Linked DNA regions of Saccharomyces cerevisiae S288C. The protein of the gene in region 1 binds, or shares a complex with, the protein of each later gene. Each region holds a gene or a part of one and is shown on either strand. Other genes may lie near its edges. A codon is read from its position in the direction of its gene.

Region 1 (7,240 bases):
GCGTCTTCGGTCTTATAGAATCCAATACTCTATTCACTTTACGCGTTATTGATACTTTTTTTTTTTTTCCCGTACGTGTTTATCATGACAAACGATTACAATTTGAAGAGAAGAGCGATAGAACCAAGCCTTGGAACGTTGAAACATCTAACGATAAAGATTGTGTCATAAAAACACTCATTATTTACATTGTCCAATTTGAGAAATATCATGTGATAATATACTAGTAACATGAATACTACTAATTAGATAATATTAGAACTTTATTCTAACACAATTGTATTAGCTTTTGTATTTCTTCTGCCCACGGGAGGTTGAGCGTAGAACTTCCTAATTCTCAAGAGAATATCGATCTTTTTGAAAAACTGAAAACGGAACAGATGTTTCAAAACATAACGCTTGATAACTTGAAAAAAATCAGCAGAATCAACTTCTTAACGTTAAAAGTTCAAGAAAACTCTTGGGCCAAGAACCATCAGGAATATATTATTTAAAAAATGGTTGCTACTTTCAAGAGCATCGATTTCTTATTTGGCGCGTAAAGAAATTTTAGTCACTTCGGTTATTACGCATTTTTCCAGCTTTTATTTCTTTGATTGCTTTTATATTTTTTTAGATCATTTTCAAAACTTTCTTAAACCCTTCTCAACTAAAAACTTGTACTTTCCATATTTTCAGGGAAGAAACATTAATTAATAAACGGCACCCTTTTTGTAAACACAATTAAAATTGAACATACAAGCAGTTTAGCTGCAGTTTATATTCAATAAAATGTACGAAGTTGTTATTGTACTTTTTTACTGATTATATAACTACTTATTAAGCTATATTATCTAAGTATGAGTCAATGCTTATTCTCTGGGAAAGGTCATGGTATTATAGTTGTCCTCGTTAGACCCAAAGAAGTAGAAATGGATTCCAAAGACGACGACGAGGAGTTTACGGGATTGCTAACGTAGTTAATTTTTGAAGCTTTGCTGAAATCCAGAATTTCTAAAAAGCTCTGTCCATCTTTTTCAACTGCTGCAACAAGTGTTTTGCCCTTAAAATTAACCGACCAAATCTGATCAGCATCTTTTAGAATATTTGCGTGGACCAATTTCCCACTCCGTAGATTATAGATGTTGAACTGATTTTCCGATCCACTCACCAAAATATTATCCGATACATAAAATGTGGTAATTGCACTCAAATTGGTATGATGGTAGGAAAATTTTCTAGAGTAGTCGTTTGCGTCCCAACCCCTTATTGAACCGTCTGCAGCGGCACTGACCAAAAATTTGTCGGATAATCTTAATAAACCGACCAAAGCTGTATGACCCTGCAAAGTGTACATAGCACCAAGTATTTTGGCGCATGGCGATGCTGAATTTGTTGCGTAGGAACATTCTCCATTATTCCATATATTTTCCAAATCCCAAATTCTAATAGTGGTATCCATACTGGCAGAGATGCACCTTTTTCTTTCATGATCGTAGATTGTCGAATAAATACGATCCGTATGTCCACTTAAAATATACAAACATTTCATTTGCGCAACATCCCACACAATCAGTGTATTATCATAGGAGCCACTAACGACAATATTACCGTGGCCTGAGACAGTTCTTACAGATGCCATATGTCCTCTTAAAACACCAACAAAATATGGGTTCTCCTCAGGGGTATGAAAGACTAATGGATAATCATGTTCTTCCCCATGATCAGGAACGGAGGACTCCTTGGGCAATTTCCAAACGTGCAAAGTGTTATCTCTCGAACCAGTAACAATGTACTTGATATTTTTATATTCTACTATATCTAGGCACCTCACCGTAGAGTTATGACCTTTAAACACATGGGTACAACAACCTTTCTTAATATCCCAAACTCGCACCGTTCTGTCTGTAGAACCGCTGACTAAAATACCGCCATGGGCATACTTCAATGCCCAAACCCCACCATCATGACCTGATAGTTGTAGAAGAAATTTCTTGTTTATCGAATCATAAACTCTGATCATTTTGTCATCAGCCCCCGTAATGACATAATTATCTTCAAATTGCAAGCACGTAATAACACTCGTCATATGGCCTCTTAACGTGGTCCTTTGTGGTACAAACTTGGGATTGTACCAATTTTTTAAAATGAATATATTCTCCAGAAAAGATAATCTAAGGCGATCTTGTTGTGAGAGTTTTGGGTATTTTTGGGAGAGTTTGAGATTGAGAGAATTAAAACCCTTTGGGCTCACAAAATTTTCCGATATCAGAAGTTTTTTCCACAACGATGTAGATTTTCTAATTATTTTGTTCCAATTTTGGGAGACCCCAAGGGAATTTATAATATCCTCGAATTGCAAATAATTGAAAATTTTCAAACTTATTTCAAAAGGCAAAGACGTTATTAGGTCCCTCTTTAAATTATCCTTGATTAAAGTCCCCAAGTCGGATAGTTCACTCCTATCCATGTTGGCAACTAATCTAAATAATAAATTTTTGAAGTATGCGTGAGGGAGATTATTGTTTATTGCGCTGAAAATCTCATCAGAAAGGTATTCAGGGGAGATTATAGAATCTTTGGATTCTATCAAATCGGCGATATTATTATTGTTGTTGATAGTTTTCGTAGTTTTAGCTAAAGGAGTTGTGGTACCTGGAGAGGAAGCAGTGGGTGATAACGGCAGCGCTCCTTCCTCCATAGGATTGTTAATAGTAGCACTATTAACATTGTTACTAACATCACTGCCAGTTATTGTTGCCGCATTGACGGTAGTGGGAGCAGCAACATTATGAGATGCCACTCCCATGTTTACACTCAATGTAGAAGGTGCGGCAGAACCATCATCCACAGACATCAAAAGTTTTTCTGCATCGTTGGATATATCTGTTAAATTGTGCAGACCGTCATTATCCACAGACGCTGCACCGGTGTTCTGTAAGTTAACTGGATGGAGGGTTTTGTGATTATCATGTTTTACCCTTTTGAAATCACTGCGTTCAGGAGTGGATTCGCCAGAACCAGCTGCTCTTTTCCTCTGATACTCATCGATATCTTCTTCGCCGTCTTCTGTCTCAACTGTCTTAGCCGTGGACGAGTTTCGATGAGTGCCAGCGGCAGTAACAAGCGCAGTAACACTACCTGAGGAAGCTATACCGCCAGACACACGGTAGCTATAAGGAACAGGGATATCACGTAATGGAAACTCAGCTAAGGGAAACGACCCCATCGTACAGCGTAATTTTTGCCTTTCTTTGATTCTTTATGCGTAATTTTCTTCGAACCGCAACAAGTTGAATGAGGAGAAGAAGAAGAGAATACTGTAAATAAACGTTTTTTTCCCAAAAAAGACACTATATTTTAAGCACACAGAAAAAGACACGCTTTGTTGAGCAATCTATATTCATATAACAGTGGTAATAGCCTTTCTCTCACAAGATATACAAGCGCTGTGACGTTTTAACGTATTCAGTATTATTTCAACAGGCTTTTTTGTTTCGTCCACCTGACCGAGCCGGCAGCTGGAAGAAAAAGTTTACTTTAGTCATGATAATCAAAAGACTCTTTCTGAATTGCTTTTATCACTCACTACAAGAGAGTCGATAAAAAAACCCAAAACATTTTAAAGTAATGGCTCAAAGTAAAAGTAATCCTCCTCAAGTGCCTTCTGGCTGGAAGGCTGTTTTTGATGATGAATACCAGACTTGGTATTATGTAGATTTATCTACGAACAGCTCTCAGTGGGAACCACCAAGGGGAACAACATGGCCAAGACCCAAAGGTCCTCCACCAGGTGTTAACAATGAGAAGAGTTCTCGTCAACAGGCAGACCAGGCTCCTCCACCTTATTCTTCTCAATCAACACCGCAAGTGCAAGCAGGGGCCCAAGCACAGCAACCTCGTTACTATCAGCCTCAACAGCCTCAGTACCCTCAATACCCTCAACAGCAGCGTTACTATCCTCAACAAGCCCCTATGCCAGCAGCAGCACCACAGCAAGCATACTATGGAACTGCGCCAAGCACCAGTAAAGGTAGTGGACACGGCGGTGCCATGATGGGTGGTTTACTTGGTGTTGGTGCGGGTTTGTTAGGTGGAGCTATGCTAGAACACGCATTTGACGACCACAACTATGACGGACCAGACACTGTCGTTGTCGAGAACAATTACTACGGTGATGATGCTGGTGGGTCCGACGGCGGATTTGATGATGCTGGTGGGTTCGACGGCGGATTTGATGATGGATTTGACGGTAGTGACTTTTAATGTTATCAAGACTTTTTGGACAAGGACGATAAAATGATATAAGCTCATCAAATCTATATTGCTTGCTGCCATCTAAATATGGATACATACAGATATATACTTGCAAAGATCGGTCCATTATACTACATAGAAAGCAATTAAAAGATAAAAAAACCCATCATGATATTCTACGCTTTTTTACTTAGCCATGTTGTTGAATGTAGCTTCAATTACTTCTGTCTGTCTAATTTATTGCTACTTTTTCACTTCTAAGTGAACCATCACAACACATATAGCATAGTCGAGAAAAAAATCAATAGCTATTACTAGATGATAGATACCGTATATGCCACCTACAGCTTACTAGAGAGCTTCCGGAATGATAGTATCATTTATCAAACTACCGGTATGGTTGTGTATTGACTGCGCCTCTCAATCTATGAAGCAGCACCACGCCTTATCGTGGCTATGCGCGATATGACCGAGCTTTACAACATACTTTTCAATAAGCCGTTCTTTGAATAATGGACCCTTTCCTATAACCTAGTGCGCGTTTAAGGTGTTTTGTTCCAATAATAGAAGCACCTATCCACATACTTCACATACAGATACACTAACTAATACCACCGATGAAGCGGAAACAATGATAAATGCAAAGCCTTGGAACATCGACAGGACTACCCGAAAATAATATGTGTGTTTACTAACAACGCAGTAATAAAGCTTTCATAACGGTAAAAAGAGGTAAGATCCTGTATAAACTGGTCTCTAGTTACTTATATCTCAAAACATTATATATGTCGATGGTACAAGTTTGACCTTACATTGCCTGATTTTTTCAGAAAGATAGCAGGTAGTTGTTATACTACAGTAATTTACTATAGCTAATCTTCATTTTAAAGTGCCCACTTCTTTTTTTTTTTGAAATTATTTCTGAGTAGTAGCTAGCTTATAAACTACTTATATGCATTTATTCACCGGCGTCGCAAATGTGTCCGTCTTATTTTTTTTAATTTTTTTTTCAATTTGTGACGCCATTAATAAAGGCTATTATATAAAACCAATCTCCATGAAATAGAAGTAAAGCATCAATCCATTATCTGTTGTTATTTCTGTTTACCAGAGTACAAGAATATTTAGAAATTATTTACTATCAACAATAACTAATGGTGTACTGCTTGTTGGTTGTGGTGTTCTTCTAGAACTGGGAATCCAACCTCCGGACTTCCATGGCTTTATTCTTTCTTCGTACATTTCATTAACTTCCTCCAGAGTTAATCCCTTTGTTTCGCAAACAAAGAAGAAAACGTAGAAGTACGAAAAGATTAAGCAACCCATGAAAACATAGCCATAAGAAAATCCTATGGATCTAGTGATAAAGGGTGTGAAAAATCCAATCAAGAAACCCCACATCCAGTTCGCACCAACCGCAATGGCCATGGCACGATTTTTAACTCTTAATGGATAAGTTTCTGCCACAATGACATAGGCGATAGGAGCCCAAGTAATGGCAAAAGAGAAAATGAAGAAACAAGTAAAAACGATCATAACATTACCAGCACTTTGCGAAGAAGGTTGGTCTTTCCCTTGTGGCCATAATCTAGTGACGCCAACGGTGGCGAATATGACGAAACAAATTGCCATCGAGGCAGACCCCCACAATAAACATTTTCGACGCCCAAATTTATCCACAATGTATAGTGCAACAAATGTAGAAGCAAAATTAACAGCCCCAAGGACAATGGAAGTCTCGAAAGAGTCTTGCATTCCAACAGCATTGAAAATGGTCGTGCCGTAGTAGAAAAAATAATTACAGCCAGTAAGCTGTTGCAGTGACTGGATAACGATTCCCATTATTACCCTTGGTAGAATTGCTCCTTTATTTGAGAAGAGTTCGTGCCAACTGGCATTTCCAACAGCCCTTTCTAATTCCATATTTGCAACTATAGTATCAAACTCAAAAACAACGCCTGGATCAGTAACTGTGACCTTGTTTGATTTGGCCAAAGACCTTCTAGCTTCTTCATACTTACCTTTTTCTACTAAATATCTGGGCGATTCCGGAACCATAACCATTCCAATCACCATAAAGATTGCCCACGCAAAACACAAACCCAAGGGAACCCGCCACTGTATTGAATTTGAATATTTCTTTGTACCATAATTGGTACAGTAGCCCAAGAAAATTCCAAGGGTAATCATTAGCTGGTAAAAAGAGACACAAGTGCCTCTTAGGTGCTTTGGGGAAATTTCTGAGATCAAAGTTGGCGACAGCACAGCAACACCTCCAACACCCATTCCAGAAACAATTCTACCAATAAAATATTGATACCATTTGTCAGAGGAAGCAATCTGGATCACGATACCAACAACATACACCAGTATAACACACATTAAGCCGATTTTACGCCCATAAATATCGCCCAGGCGTCCCAGCGTTAGGCCACCTAAAGCACAACCTATGTTGAAGATACCGACAATTAGCCCTGTCCTGACATCTGATAGTTGAAAACTGCCGTCCCTTTGTAACTCACCAAACCTTCTCTTGAAATCTGTTTGGTTAATAAACCCTGAAATGGTTCCTGTATCCCAACCAAAAATGAATCCACCAAAGGCAATCATCAGACAGAGACCCATCACCGTCCAGTATGCAATAATGGGTTTGTATGGAATGTCCAAGCTAGCTTCCCTTGTTTCAGGGGTTAGTTTAATTTCATCCTTTCTACTTAGAGAAGTGGATGCCTTGGCGCTAGTCCCCAAAATGGAAACACTTGAACTAACCATCCTCGCTGTTATTTTTTTGTTATATCGATCAACTATATTATTATTAATTATTTATTGTATTTTTATTACGAGAAAGAAATAGTTTTAGATAGATAAACCGTCATTGAGGCGCAGAGCGTACCAACACATTTCTTGTGTCCTTATATAACAATTCCTTCTGATTGGAAAACATGTAGGAACAAACATAAAGAGAATAATTTCACTGGTATAATTCATTTCTGTGTAATAACCC
Region 2 (6,902 bases), on another chromosome or scaffold:
GTGCAGGCTTATAAAATACCACTGATGTTCATTTCCTAATTTTGATTTGGCATGATTGCTTCTTTCTACGTACAAAACGTGTCTGCAGAACCTTTAGCCTTAACAATGACCAATCACTTTGAAAGGTTATTAATTTTGTTTTCTAAATTCTCTAATTTTTTCTTGTGTTCTTTTAGTTGTTCCTTCACATGTGCTAATTGTTCCCTCTCTTGTTGTCTGGCATAATAATCCTCTTTGGCACGTTCTCTCTTGATAAAGATATCTTGAGGATTACCAGGTCCGGCACCACCGAGAGGACCATCTGAATAAAAGCGAGAGGCAATTCTTAGGTTTACTGGCAGCCTGGTATTACGGGAAATGCAACGGTTTAACATATTGATAGCGTGTTTGGTTGGATGACTGGGTGAAAGTGCTTCTTAATATCTACAATGGAGAGCTCAATTTTCTTATGAACGACTGAACTAAATATAATAAATAATTCCCCAGCCGCCCCCTAAAAGATAATAATGATGCTTGAAATAGTTAGCAAATAGAAACCGATCATTTGACGTATATAGTGATCATTATCATAACGGAAATACTCCGTGAGAGTATAATAGCGTGGGGAATCGCACAGAGTCAATATTCATTGATCTCAATTAATTGATTAAAATACCCCGTCTTCAAGCTAGATGCAACCGCCTCAATTGAACATCGGAGTAGGAGAAAAAGCTTATTGAATAAAGTTGACGTAAATAGTAATTTTATTACGGTAATCGCCAGTACTTAAACACCTAATAACGCCCAGTATGTGTATGTTTGAAATATGTGTACTATATATATAATGAAACTATTTGGTGACCTTTGCCTTTTTAGAAACATGCCCATTGGAAATATCGATATTGTCGTCATCTGTACCCTTATTTACTGGTTTTAAAAGTGGGGTGCTCAATTCTGCATGGAAGTCCTTGATAATGGAGTCTACATCATCAATATTTAGCGGTCTGACATCACCCAGCTTCTTAATCTTAGCAGTAACTTCCTTGATTTGATCATCCGTCAAATTCAAGTTCAATTGGTCGACTCTTGATTTGATTGCATTCCAACCAGTTAGTCTGTTGGCGAAGTGGATATATCTCTTCATACCGAAATCGTGAGGGTCCAAGATTTCGTAGGTAGATGGGTTAGCCAAAATGGCCTTGGCATGGATACCTGCTTTATGTGTGAATGCACAGAACCCGGTGATAGGGTTGTTGAATGGAATGTTAACTTCCACAGCATCAGCGACCAGGTTTTCGATGTCTCTGATCTTGTGCAGCTTGTATTTAGATCTGACATAGTCTGGTGCGGCAACAATCATTCTTGCCATGAGCCCACCTAGAGGAGTGATACCGTTTCTTTCACCAATACCCAGTACACTGACGTCAATCAATCTGGCACCACCTTCCAAAGCAGTGTAGGCGTTTGCAATGGCACAACCGGTATCATTGTGGAAATGGCATTCGATGTCACATGAGACAACACTCTTCAAAGTTCTGATCAGTTCATATACTTGTCTTGGGTTGGCACATCCAACTGTGTCGGCAATACCGACTCTATTTACACCGATCTTGTCAACGGTTTTATAAATGTTCAAAAGATCAACGAGATCACTTCTGAAGGAATCTTCAGAGGAAAATCTGATTTCAATACCTTTGGATTTGACAAATTCAATGACTTCAACAGCACTCTTGGCGATGTAGTTCATATCCTTACCGTGGGAATATTGTCTTAAAAATTTGGAGGTGCCGATAACAACATCGACACCGTCGACACCAGTCTCTACGGCGACTCTGGCATCGTCCATGTGACAACGAATGTGTGTAAGGATCTTGGCCTTTAAACCTAGTTTACATATAGCTTCACAGTCCTTTCTTGATTGTTCGGATGCTACGGGAGAGGTTAACTCGATGTAGTCCACACCGAAATCATCCAAGGCTCTAGCAATTTCAATCTTTTTTTCAGTATCGAAGAATGCGTTGGCAAATTGTTCACCCTCTCTTAGTGTTGAATCAATCAACTGGAAATTCTTAACATTGGATAGATAATCCGCAGGATTTGGGCCATATGGGTTACTAGTGGTTGGAGCAGTCGTCGATTCGGTGACACTCTGGAATTCGTTATTTTCAGACATGGTTTGTTAAAGTATACAATTACTTGGGTTGTCGTTGCACTTTTAAATGTGTAGCAAATAAAGGCCTAAACGCAACAAGAAGAAAGATAAATTTTGAAATCTGTTGCATATATATATTAGTATATAAGAGACTGCATGAAAATGCGAACAAACGCATGCTCAACACCACTCATGCGCAATATCGTAGAATCACACACAACGAGAACGATCAGCTTGGCATCTTTGCAAAGTGACTAATTTTCGCTGTTCCACCACTATCGCACATTGCGCGACGTGATTTCTACGCGGATTTCTTGGAGCTGGTAGCTGCTGGTGACGATTTCCAGCGGAATTTCAACTCTGCCACTGACTGATCCTTGTTGTCAGTCTCATCATTTCAGCCTGATCTCTTCTCAAGCAGGCCGAAAAGCCGCCCGGTAAAGGATGTTACAACGGAAAGAGAAGTGCCATATCTTCATACTATGAGATTCTCAAGAGGTCAAAGACTCTTCATAGTTCAGTTGAATACACACAATTACACACACACACATATATATATATACATATATATATATATATATATATATATATATATATGTATACGCTTATGTATTTACTCGTAGGATTTGCTTCGTTCGATCAGCACAAGCCTTCAAAGATGATTAAGCAAGGTAAGCATACGATTCACCATCGTCTCCCCTCTGTAGGTATCCCTTTTGTATTAAGCTATCGATGGCTCTCTTGACCATAGAAACCTTTGCATTGAACCTTTGGTGTGATTGCGCAATGCATTCGTTGACCAATGTTGTATGTGGCAGATTTCTTTTCGCTTTCATTATTCTCACAATACAAGCTTCCAAGAAAATCTGCCTTTCTGTATTCAATTCTTTTTCTATTCTTTCGTCTTCCGTCAAGCGTTTGTTTCCTAACTTATTACCGTGATTATCGTGGCCTCCACCGGATAGCGATTGCAGAATGTCGTTTTTGACTCCGCTAGCGAAATTAATATTGGTCTTAAGCGCCTTATAAGGACGTGATAGCTTGAATTGTGTTTCAGGTTTCACGAGAGCATCTAGCCCTGGTGGGACCTGTTGAATCAGTTTGAATTTGATGAATGGTACCATTGCCGCTGCGATGTGCTGAATGGTTAAGCTCGTGCCCTCTTGAATATTTTCTAAGGTTAATACATCAGCATCGTTATATAGTAGCAAAATTGCCATTTGAAACAGTGTTACCGTAAAGTTGAACGGCATCCTGCCGGGTTTTCCAATATCTGCCTTCAATTCGCCACGACATAATGGCCATAGCCACTTCAATATTCTACCATTATGCTTTTGGCTGTATGACTCCTTCAATTTTTCGTGAGATGGTACCAATTCCTTGGGTAGCTTAAATTCAACTTCTTGGTATGAAAATGGCCACATATTTTCTGCCAATACAAATGGTTGTAGATCTGGATATTTTGCTTTAGAGTAATCTGGTTCATTCTTCAGGGCGACAGCAAAATCGTCTTCCAAGATCTTGGAAAGTCTAATATCTTGAAACATTTTAGTTATCTTGCCTGTATATTCCATACTATTTGCCGCTTGCAGCCTTTGAATAATATTTTCTTCGTCTTCTGCTGATGTTGAAGTGCCATGAATTAAACGCTTGGCGAAAAGTCTTCTATAATGAGTTTCGAACGCATCTTTGTCGGTCAAATATTTGAATATTGTTATAATATCTTCATCTGACATGTCACTTGCCACTTCAGGTTTGGTGGCCTTCTTTAATAGTATATCACTGTACTTAGCTAGCATCTCGGAAGTCTTCGAGGTGGCACTTTTTGGAGATCCAGCAGGTAATGCGAACTCGTTGATGTTGATGAAAGCACCACACGCATTATCTAGAGCTTTAGCTAAAGGTATGTCGTCGGGGAAACTTTCATTAAAAATCTTAGAGAATATATCGTGTACTTCCAGTAATTTCTTGATATAGTCTTTAGGAGAAAGGGAGTGAGCTGTCATTAGTGCTAGTTTTTTAGGGTTTGCGTTTTCGTTTTTCATAATATTGTGTTTATGCATTGCCAGTAGACTCGAAATTTCATTCTCACCTGTCTTTTTAACATAATTTTCAAACACTGAAGCCATTCTTGGGATTAATGTAAAGTCTCTGCGTATTAGTGCGTACAAAGAAGTAATTTTTTCAATATCTCTGGCATCCAGAAGGACAACAAACTCATTTTCCAACTTTTCAATATGGTCTGTGATCAAGACCTTGTTTAATGCCATGGATAGTGGTTTTTTTGTATGATCATCCCAATATATTGTCATTGCTTTTTCCTCACGTTTGATGATTTCATGTGCTTCAAAAATATACTCAGTTACCGAGTGTTTCTCTAAATAATCGTTTGTATATTGCGTGTAGTACTCCTGAGTCTTCTTTAAAAATGGCTTTTCGAAAACTTGGATGTAGACATTTAGGTTCAACTTTTTCAAATCCTGTGGATCGATACCTAGTGCAACTAAAGACTTTATGGCAGTGCTAATATTACTTCTTTGAATTATTTGCCCCTCCCTTCCCAAGGTTACCTGGTCTAATAATTCGTTTATTAAAACATCTTTACTCGGATCAAACATGACTTCTTTCCATGTCATCAAGCACAAGGTGTTTACATCAAAAATATGCCTTTTGCCGTCACTTCTTTCCTTTTGAACCCAATATCTATTCATATAATCGAATGCATGGTTTAAAAAAATGGCACCTATTGTAAACCTTTTCCAGCGCTTGACGTAAAACTGCAAAAAGGTCTCTGAATTAGACTGCTTAAAATTTAAAATGTAATTCTTCAAATAATTCTTTAACTTTTCGTAAATCTCACTGCCAACCAAAATTGTTGATTGGCCAGTTCTACTGTCAGTACTAAAATGTCCAGACGAGCGTGATTTGTTCACACAGTAGTTATAAATTGCGGTATAGACTTCCATATACATGGTTGGAGAAAGAATTTTGTAAACTCGCTTAGACGTGGATGCTTGGTTTTTCTCATTACCCAGTATTTGGTTAATTCCTGGCTCTATAAAGTTCCAAGTGGCCTCTAAATCATCAGATCTAGGCAGAGTCTCAGACATGCTTTGCTGCTTGCGATTTTGTTGTTATTCTTTGTTTAGGTATATGTAAGAATCCTTTCAAGACTCAAAAATGTACGCTTATTTATCGGTAAGTAGAAGCAATGTCGAATTGCTAAAAGAAATGTGTAACTGAGGTAAAATGTAATCAACAATGAAAGGGGTGCACAGAAGTTAGAAGATGCGGATGAAAAGCTCTAAAAGAGAAAAAGGACAATATAAAAGAGCAGTGATATGAATCAATTGCGTTGTAAAGTGAAGTTCTGCTGGGGTACTTTACCTAATGCCCTAGTTTTTCTAGATGTTCTATTTGCCACATTTCACTTCATGTGTGTCCATCAAACATCGAAATGAAAAAGGGCCCTTAAAACGGAAAGGAAAAGAAAGTGCAATAGCCCTCCCTTCGGGTAATACATATTATATCGCACAAAGCCTAATATAATCAAACCCGCCGTTAATGAATAAATGCCAAGCCGGAGTAATTTTTTAAGTCAAAAATATACAATGCATATAAATGTCAATCTTGGTATCTAAAAGAATTCTTTTAATTTCTATATTTGTCGAGCTCAGTTTCTGTTGGTAATTGAACTGACTTTTTCGACTACTCTAACAATACTGATCGAGAAAGTGATTACCCACATAAACAAGGCAACGAACAGAAAAGCGGATAAAGCTTCCTGTTTTCTGCAGATACGCGGTATTTTTGGGTATCCATACGTGCTTCCATTTGACCTGCGAATAGAAGTGCAAACCCACTCTTTGTCGAAACGAGTATTAAATGCCAGCGCTAGATTAGCGCTTGAAAAAATTATAAAAAGTAAGTCCAACAAAATTAGTTTCAGTTTGCTTAACGGATTCCTCAAACCAACAGGTTTACCAGCAAATTCATCGTGTGCAATGTAAATAATATACGCAATCGCCACGGCGTTGACGCAGATGGCCATTATGGTGCTTGGTTGTTGCCCGATTTTACTTTCACTGATGGTGTTATTTGATCTTGAGTTTTGAAAAATCTTGATTGCCAGAGCAAGTGAAATGCACGATAATATACCAGTGAAAATCCTCAAACCCAAAATCAAATATTGATTATCAAGTAATAGCGACGTCAAAGGAGGTCTCCACTGTTGTAACTTCCTTTGCTTTAACCTCCGCCACTTTTCTCTCTCTTTATTGAGCTCATTTACCCAATCTGACTTGTAAACTTTGTTGTGTACTGATTCGGGTGATTCTGGGTTCTTCTTATTATCACCGTAATAGAAATCTTTTACCTTTTCGATATATTGTAACCACTCTTTTCTCTCTTCTGTCGTGTTGAACTCTAAATTGGCACCTATTTCTGAATGTAGAACACCTTCTAGTCGTTCTTCACCTCCCCACTCGCTGCACATGTCACCTAAAATTTCTCTAAGAGCCGCATTTTTTGATGAGGTAGATGATGATAGAGAGTAACCATCGTAGGATTTGTGACTAGGATTGTAGTTTTGGTCTCTAGTGTATGCAGAATGACAGCCGATGGTAGATGCAAACTGGCCCCATTTAAACTCTTTTGGAAGATTTTTATCATCGGTAACATTTCCATCAACGGTGCCCTTATCCTGAAGTCTTAATTTATCAAACTGCGCCTCTAAAACATAAGGCGGCACTGTGGTAGGCACAAACGTGTA
Region 3 (5,319 bases), on another chromosome or scaffold:
CAAACATGAAGCCGCCGAAGGCAACACACAAACAAAGCAAGGAAACGGTAACATATTCAGACATGGGCTTCTTGGGTATCTCTATAGGAACACTTTGGGAGCCTTCAGACCCTGACTCACCGGCTTTCAATTCATCATTAGAATACTTTTGAGATTGTGCGCTTAAATGGGAATCTTTACTGAGTGAAGAGATCACGTCTTCACCAGCTTGGGGTTGCTGTGAAACAACAGGCATATTGTTCTCCTCAACTGCCATTATGAAAGAATTATTTTTTTTATTATGTTAATCTTGTGTTTACTTAACTATTACTATTCTTGATGATAATTGAATAAGGTGCATAATGAAGAGCAATTCACAACACCAAATTTTCAATCCAATTACTGATTGTTTATATATGTCTACAAAACTTATCCTATCTCCACATTTTAGCCTGCGAAATGTTTGTTTTTTGAACAATAGCTCTCCAGAATGTTGTATAATTTAAGAATATGTGCACAGTTAACTTTCTAGCAGGAGTATAATGCCATTTGCTCCCCATCTTGAGATGGGAAGGGCTTAACTAATCTCGGTTCGGAGTGATCCGCCCCGATACTGCCTTCTGCCTTAATATCGTCCAAGGCACATGGACCCCTGAACGGCGCAGATATCTCCGCACGGACGAAAGACCGCCGGTGCCTTCCTGAGGCAACCGCCCCTTTCGAATATAGATCACGTGACCCATTTTTAGCTACTAATAGAAAAAGAAATTGCAACCTACTTAAGCCATTCCGGAAGGAAGCTTTCCGAATTGACGTTGAGTACCTTTTGTGAAAAGATTCTACCGCATTTAATTGGAGTTTGATGCAAAGTAGTTGCCAGTTACAAGTTGAGTGCGGCTACCTGATATTTTCTAGTCCTATATTGCTGTGATCTGAATCTGGAAAGTTCCCCTGGTCCGTAAACCTCCTTGGATTAGTACAGCCCGTTATGCTCAGTAAATGTAATAGATGTGCCTTCTGCAGCGAAACTGGTATTGTAGGAGACATATTACTGTCGTCTTGGAAGCAAAATTAATGTTTTGCTGCTTTTACTGTCGCGTTTAACAGTTGATTTTCCCAAAAAAAAAAAAAGAAGTTAACAGCATCTATATAAAGAAGGATATAGATAACATGCACATTTTCGTATGTAATAGTTATGTTTCTTATATCTTGTACCCATATAACAAAGACACAAGAGCTTACAGAAGTTTGACCTTCTTGATGTCTTGGTTAATTCTAAACATGTAGTACGCCAATGTGATCATAATGAAAATCAGCAGTGCCAACCATACACTTATTTTGGAAAATATCTCATCATGACCTTTGGTCTGCTTGCCATACAGCTTGGCATCTTGTCGAATTTTTTCTTGTTCTTTTATCAATCTGTCCAGGTTTGCGTTCATCGAAAGAAAATCTTGGAAACTATCGTCACTTATGGCTGTTTTCTTCAGATCTAACAGTGGTCTTAAACGTTGAATCAGTTCACGTTCATTCTCCACAATCTTGTTCATCTTGCGGAGTAATGGATCGATATCATTTGCCATGATTTTCCCCTCCAACTTGTTCATCTTTTCGAAAAGCTCGTTACTCGTTATACTTTCTTCCTTATCAGAAAATGGCATCTTTTCCCTGAAACTCTCTTCACCAGTTTGAGAATTGATCACTTTAGTAACCACTCTGGGTTGTCCCATAGGATTCACGTTAGGAATTAGCGAATCCTCTATAACTCCGTCATAAAGCTTCATTTTCAAGATTTCAAACGATTCTTTGGATGCATCGTTGATAGCACTTGTTCCAATCCTAAATGGGCTGCTGCCCATAAATTTAACTTTCCTTGTCTGGAAACACACTCTGTTGTCCATTTGCAACTTTAACAAGTGATTATCTAGTGGATTGTAAGTCAATCTTAATGTTGATGGTACCATGGAATCCTGGTATTGGAACAGACATGACGCAAAGTACGGTGAGGATTCAATATCAAGATCTTTTGTTCCGTCATTCAAATACGCTGTCACGCTCTCTCCCAACTTATCGTCTAATCGTAACAATATCATCAAACCATTAAACTTCTTCGAACTTCCACCAAATAACTCGGTACTATCTCCCTCATTTCCTTGCTTCAGCCAAAATGCAAGACCCCCCTTTGTGCTGCCTCTGAACCCGAAACTTCTAAACGTCCACTCTATTGTCATTGCATCCTTTATTGAATATTCAGGTTTCAACCAAAGTGAACCCTTTGTGTTCTTTCCAGGAGTTAAAACAAACCTCCCTTCTTCAAGTTTTACTTTGTCACCCAAAGTCCATTGTGAAAGTTCTTTTTGCTGATCTGTCACTTCTAGCAAATTTGGTAGCGAGTATCCTTTATTCCATTTCAATTCATCCTTCTGCGTCACTTTTCCGTGTACCATCCACACACACATATATAACCATATCAGTCCATTAATGAAATTCATCTTCTTTTGCTTAGTTCCAGCTTTTGTTCCTGTGATTTTCCCTAAAAGCTGAAGAGAGGAAGCTGTCTTTCTTGTAGTCATCCTCCCCTAACTCGCTTTGACGAAATACTACAATGAAATATGCTATTATTCTGAAGACAGAAAACCAGAATAAAAGAATACGGTAAGGAAAAGTTAAAAATCCTGTTAATGTTGTAATATAGAATATCCTGTATATATTATAATATGTAAAATGTTGATGTTAATGCCCCTTTGCAAATAAATGTAGAATAAGTAAGTAAATAAAATATAATCGTTCCAGAAACTTTTTTTTTTCATTTCTTCAATGCTCTTGATCCCTAGATTGAAACAATGCCTTTGGCTTGAATCTTCTCTTTTCTTCATCCGTTAACCTTCGTTTCTCTACCACCTCTCCCTTCTTATTGACATATGTTATTACGTCTTCTATATCTGGGTTTTCTCTCAACATTGCCCTTTTACGTTCATTTCTAATTTCCTGAGTGACCAGTTCATCTGATGCAAAGGGATTTTTACCCACCCGCACTGGATTGATGATGATGTCTTCCTCGTCTTCACTTTCTTGACTCCTGGCGTCATTTTTCGGAGAGTTGTTGTTCCAATTTTTTGCCAATTCAAATGTTATCACCTTGTCGCTGGGCGTACCAGGTACATCTTTAATAATCTTCTTTCTATGTGTCTGATCAAACTCATCTCTTTCAAGTGATAAATGTAACTGCCTGGCAGATGTAGGTCTGCTGGGGGGAAGAAGAACTTCTCCTTCTTCTTCTTCTTCTGCTGCATCTATATCCACATTTTGCTGCGTGGGAAACAATATCCTATTTACACGACCCAATGGTTCCTGCTCTTCCCTTACTGTTCCATTATCATGACTTTCAAATTGGAATAGTGTCCTCTTCACTGAAGATTTTGGAAACGGCGAGCGTTGAGGAGACGTAAGCCCATTAAATGGAGAGGTCATACCCATGTTCGAATTGGGAGGTGCTAATAATGGCGCATTTTTAAAAGACTTAGTTGTTGAGGGAGTGACAGGGACTAGGTTCTGTGAAGGCTTTTGGGGGGTCTTTTGACCTTGCATTAGGGCACTAGAACTAGTATTGCCACTAGGCTGCGCAAGGTACCTAGTCCCTCTGGACCTTGGTGGGGTGGAAGGAGTCATTTTCGTGTAATAGTCCCTGCTTCAAGGGTCAAAATTCCGTAGAGGTTTGGTTGATTGATTTACAAAGACAATACCTTATCCTTTGGATATGCCTTCTCTCTTTTTATAAATATCAAAAGTTGCGACGCGAACAACAAGCCAGCCATTGAAATTTTCAGTGTGCTGGCTATAATAGACAGGATCGACGCTGTCGATGGAGAAGGAAACACGGCAATAGTGCAGATATTATCGTGACTTAATCATATTGATTTGAGGGGGGAATGGTATGTTTGATCGCCGGAGGCATCTTTTCTCATTATTGCTAAAACAAGATGTAATACTAACAGGGTATTTTGCTACTACCATCAAATAGAACGCTCTTTACAACCATGCTGTGAAGCAAAAAAATCAACTACAACAAGAGTTGGCCAGGTTTGAAAAGAATTCTGTGACCGCCCCTATTTCTTTACAAGGGTCCATCTCTGCAACTCTGGTCTCACTGGAGAAAACAGTTAAGCAATATGCAGAACATTTAAACAGATATAAAGAAGATACTAATGCAGAGGAAATTGATCCTAAGTTCGCTAATCGACTAGCAACTTTAACACAGGATCTGCACGACTTTACTGCCAAGTTTAAGGATTTAAAACAATCCTACAACGAAAATAATTCCAGAACTCAGTTGTTTGGCTCAGGAGCATCGCATGTTATGGACTCCGATAACCCCTTTAGTACATCAGAGACCATCATGAATAAAAGGAACGTTGGTGGTGCGAGTGCAAATGGTAAAGAGGGCTCTAGCAACGGTGGGGGACTACCGTTGTACCAAGGGCTACAAAAGGAACAGTCTGTTTTCGAAAGGGGTAACGCTCAATTAGATTACATTCTAGAAATGGGCCAACAATCATTCGAAAATATAGTGGAACAAAACAAAATTTTATCCAAGGTACAAGATAGAATGTCAAATGGCCTAAGAACATTGGGTGTTTCGGAACAAACTATCACCTCTATCAATAAACGGGTGTTCAAAGATAAACTAGTCTTTTGGATCGCGTTAATTCTCTTGATCATAGGTATTTATTATGTGTTGAAATGGTTAAGATAGAAGTAACCGTGAGTTCTATATATAAATAAACATACCATATATACATGCATCATTATAAGGGTTGAAAAAACATCGCGAATCTCGCTACTTTCCTTCTATGCTCTTTCGTTTCTCAAACCCGCCAGTATAAGCAACTTTTATTACCATTGGTGACTACACGTTGCTCCTTTTTTAAGTGTAATTTACTGTTATAAATTGAGTCCAAATCTGTCGTGTCTTGTCCTGGTTTGAGAACTTCGGGAATGTTCATTGGCTTAGCGCATTTCATAGTTTTCTTTCCAATACCTAGTTGGCCATGGTCGTTATTACCCCATGCAATGACCTCGTTTTCTTGTTCAGTTTCAGTGAACACACAATGAGAGCCGCAACTCCAGTTGGTCAATTTCTTGTCATCCGACTTGATTTTTATGGGATCACATTGCGAGTTCTTGAAAGTGTTGTTGCCCAATTCACCAAAAAGTCCATTACCAAACGCGAAATAATGATGGTCTGACGTTGAGCCAGGCTTACGAATGGTCACAAACGATGTTTCATCATCACAATGAATATCCACACATTTCCAATTCGTCATCCCCGGGAAATGCGGT

The links. Proteins that work in one complex are often made in the same cells at the same time.
Region 2: CDC4 (region 1) and CDC53 share a complex: the UniProt entries of both Saccharomyces cerevisiae proteins name them as parts of the SCF(CDC4) complex.
Region 3: the proteins of CDC4 (region 1) and SIC1 are in contact, whole or in part, in a crystal structure (PDB 3V7D), measured with the Saccharomyces cerevisiae proteins. Residues at the interface, in NP_116585.1 of Saccharomyces cerevisiae: Val384 (codon at 2,059), Trp426 (codon at 1,933), Thr441 (codon at 1,888), Arg443 (codon at 1,882), Ser464 (codon at 1,819), Thr465 (codon at 1,816), Arg467 (codon at 1,810), Arg485 (codon at 1,756), Arg534 (codon at 1,609), Tyr548 (codon at 1,567), Arg572 (codon at 1,495), Tyr574 (codon at 1,489), Leu634 (codon at 1,309), Gly636 (codon at 1,303), Leu637 (codon at 1,300), Ala650 (codon at 1,261), Ala675 (codon at 1,186), Ile676 (codon at 1,183), Thr677 (codon at 1,180), Trp717 (codon at 1,060); in NP_013180.1 of Saccharomyces cerevisiae: Phe71 (codon at 3,438), Asn72 (codon at 3,435), Gly73 (codon at 3,432), Leu74 (codon at 3,429), Thr75 (codon at 3,426), Ser76 (codon at 3,423), Pro77 (codon at 3,420), Gln78 (codon at 3,417), Arg79 (codon at 3,414), Ser80 (codon at 3,411).

What each region holds. Positions count from the first base shown.
Region 1 is NC_001138.5:112,113-119,352, reverse strand, and holds CDC4 (SCF ubiquitin ligase complex subunit CDC4), read right to left. Parts: upstream 3,209-7,240; coding exon 869-3,208; downstream 1-868. Other genes in the region: WWM1 (Wwm1p), read left to right, coding at 3,610-4,245; AUA1 (Aua1p), read right to left, coding at 4,079-4,363; hexose transporter HXT10, read right to left, coding at 5,368-7,008. UniProt on the Saccharomyces cerevisiae protein: Substrate recognition component of a SCF (SKP1-CUL1-F-box protein) E3 ubiquitin-protein ligase complex which mediates the ubiquitination and subsequent proteasomal degradation of target proteins. Recognizes and binds to phosphorylated target proteins.
Region 2 is NC_001136.10:222,643-229,544, reverse strand, and holds CDC53 (cullin CDC53), read right to left. Parts: upstream 5,242-6,902; coding exon 2,794-5,241; downstream 1-2,793. Other genes in the region: STF1 (ATPase-binding protein), read right to left, coding at 114-374; homocitrate synthase LYS21, read right to left, coding at 830-2,152; SRF1 (phospholipase D regulator), read right to left, coding at 5,805-6,902. UniProt on the Saccharomyces cerevisiae protein: Core component of multiple cullin-RING-based SCF (SKP1-CUL1-F-box) E3 ubiquitin-protein ligase complexes which mediate the ubiquitination and subsequent proteasomal degradation of target proteins.
Region 3 is NC_001144.5:285,149-290,467, reverse strand, and holds SIC1 (cyclin-dependent protein serine/threonine kinase inhibiting protein SIC1), read right to left. Parts: upstream 3,649-5,319; coding exon 2,794-3,648; downstream 1-2,793. Other genes in the region: galactose permease GAL2, read right to left, coding at 1-256; EMP46 (Emp46p), read right to left, coding at 1,218-2,552; BOS1 (Bos1p), read left to right, coding at 3,909-3,911, 4,001-4,732; FMP25 (Fmp25p), read right to left, coding at 4,845-5,319. UniProt on the Saccharomyces cerevisiae protein: Substrate and inhibitor of the cyclin-dependent protein kinase CDC28. Its activity could be important for faithful segregation of chromosomes to daughter cells. It acts in response to a signal from a post-start checkpoint.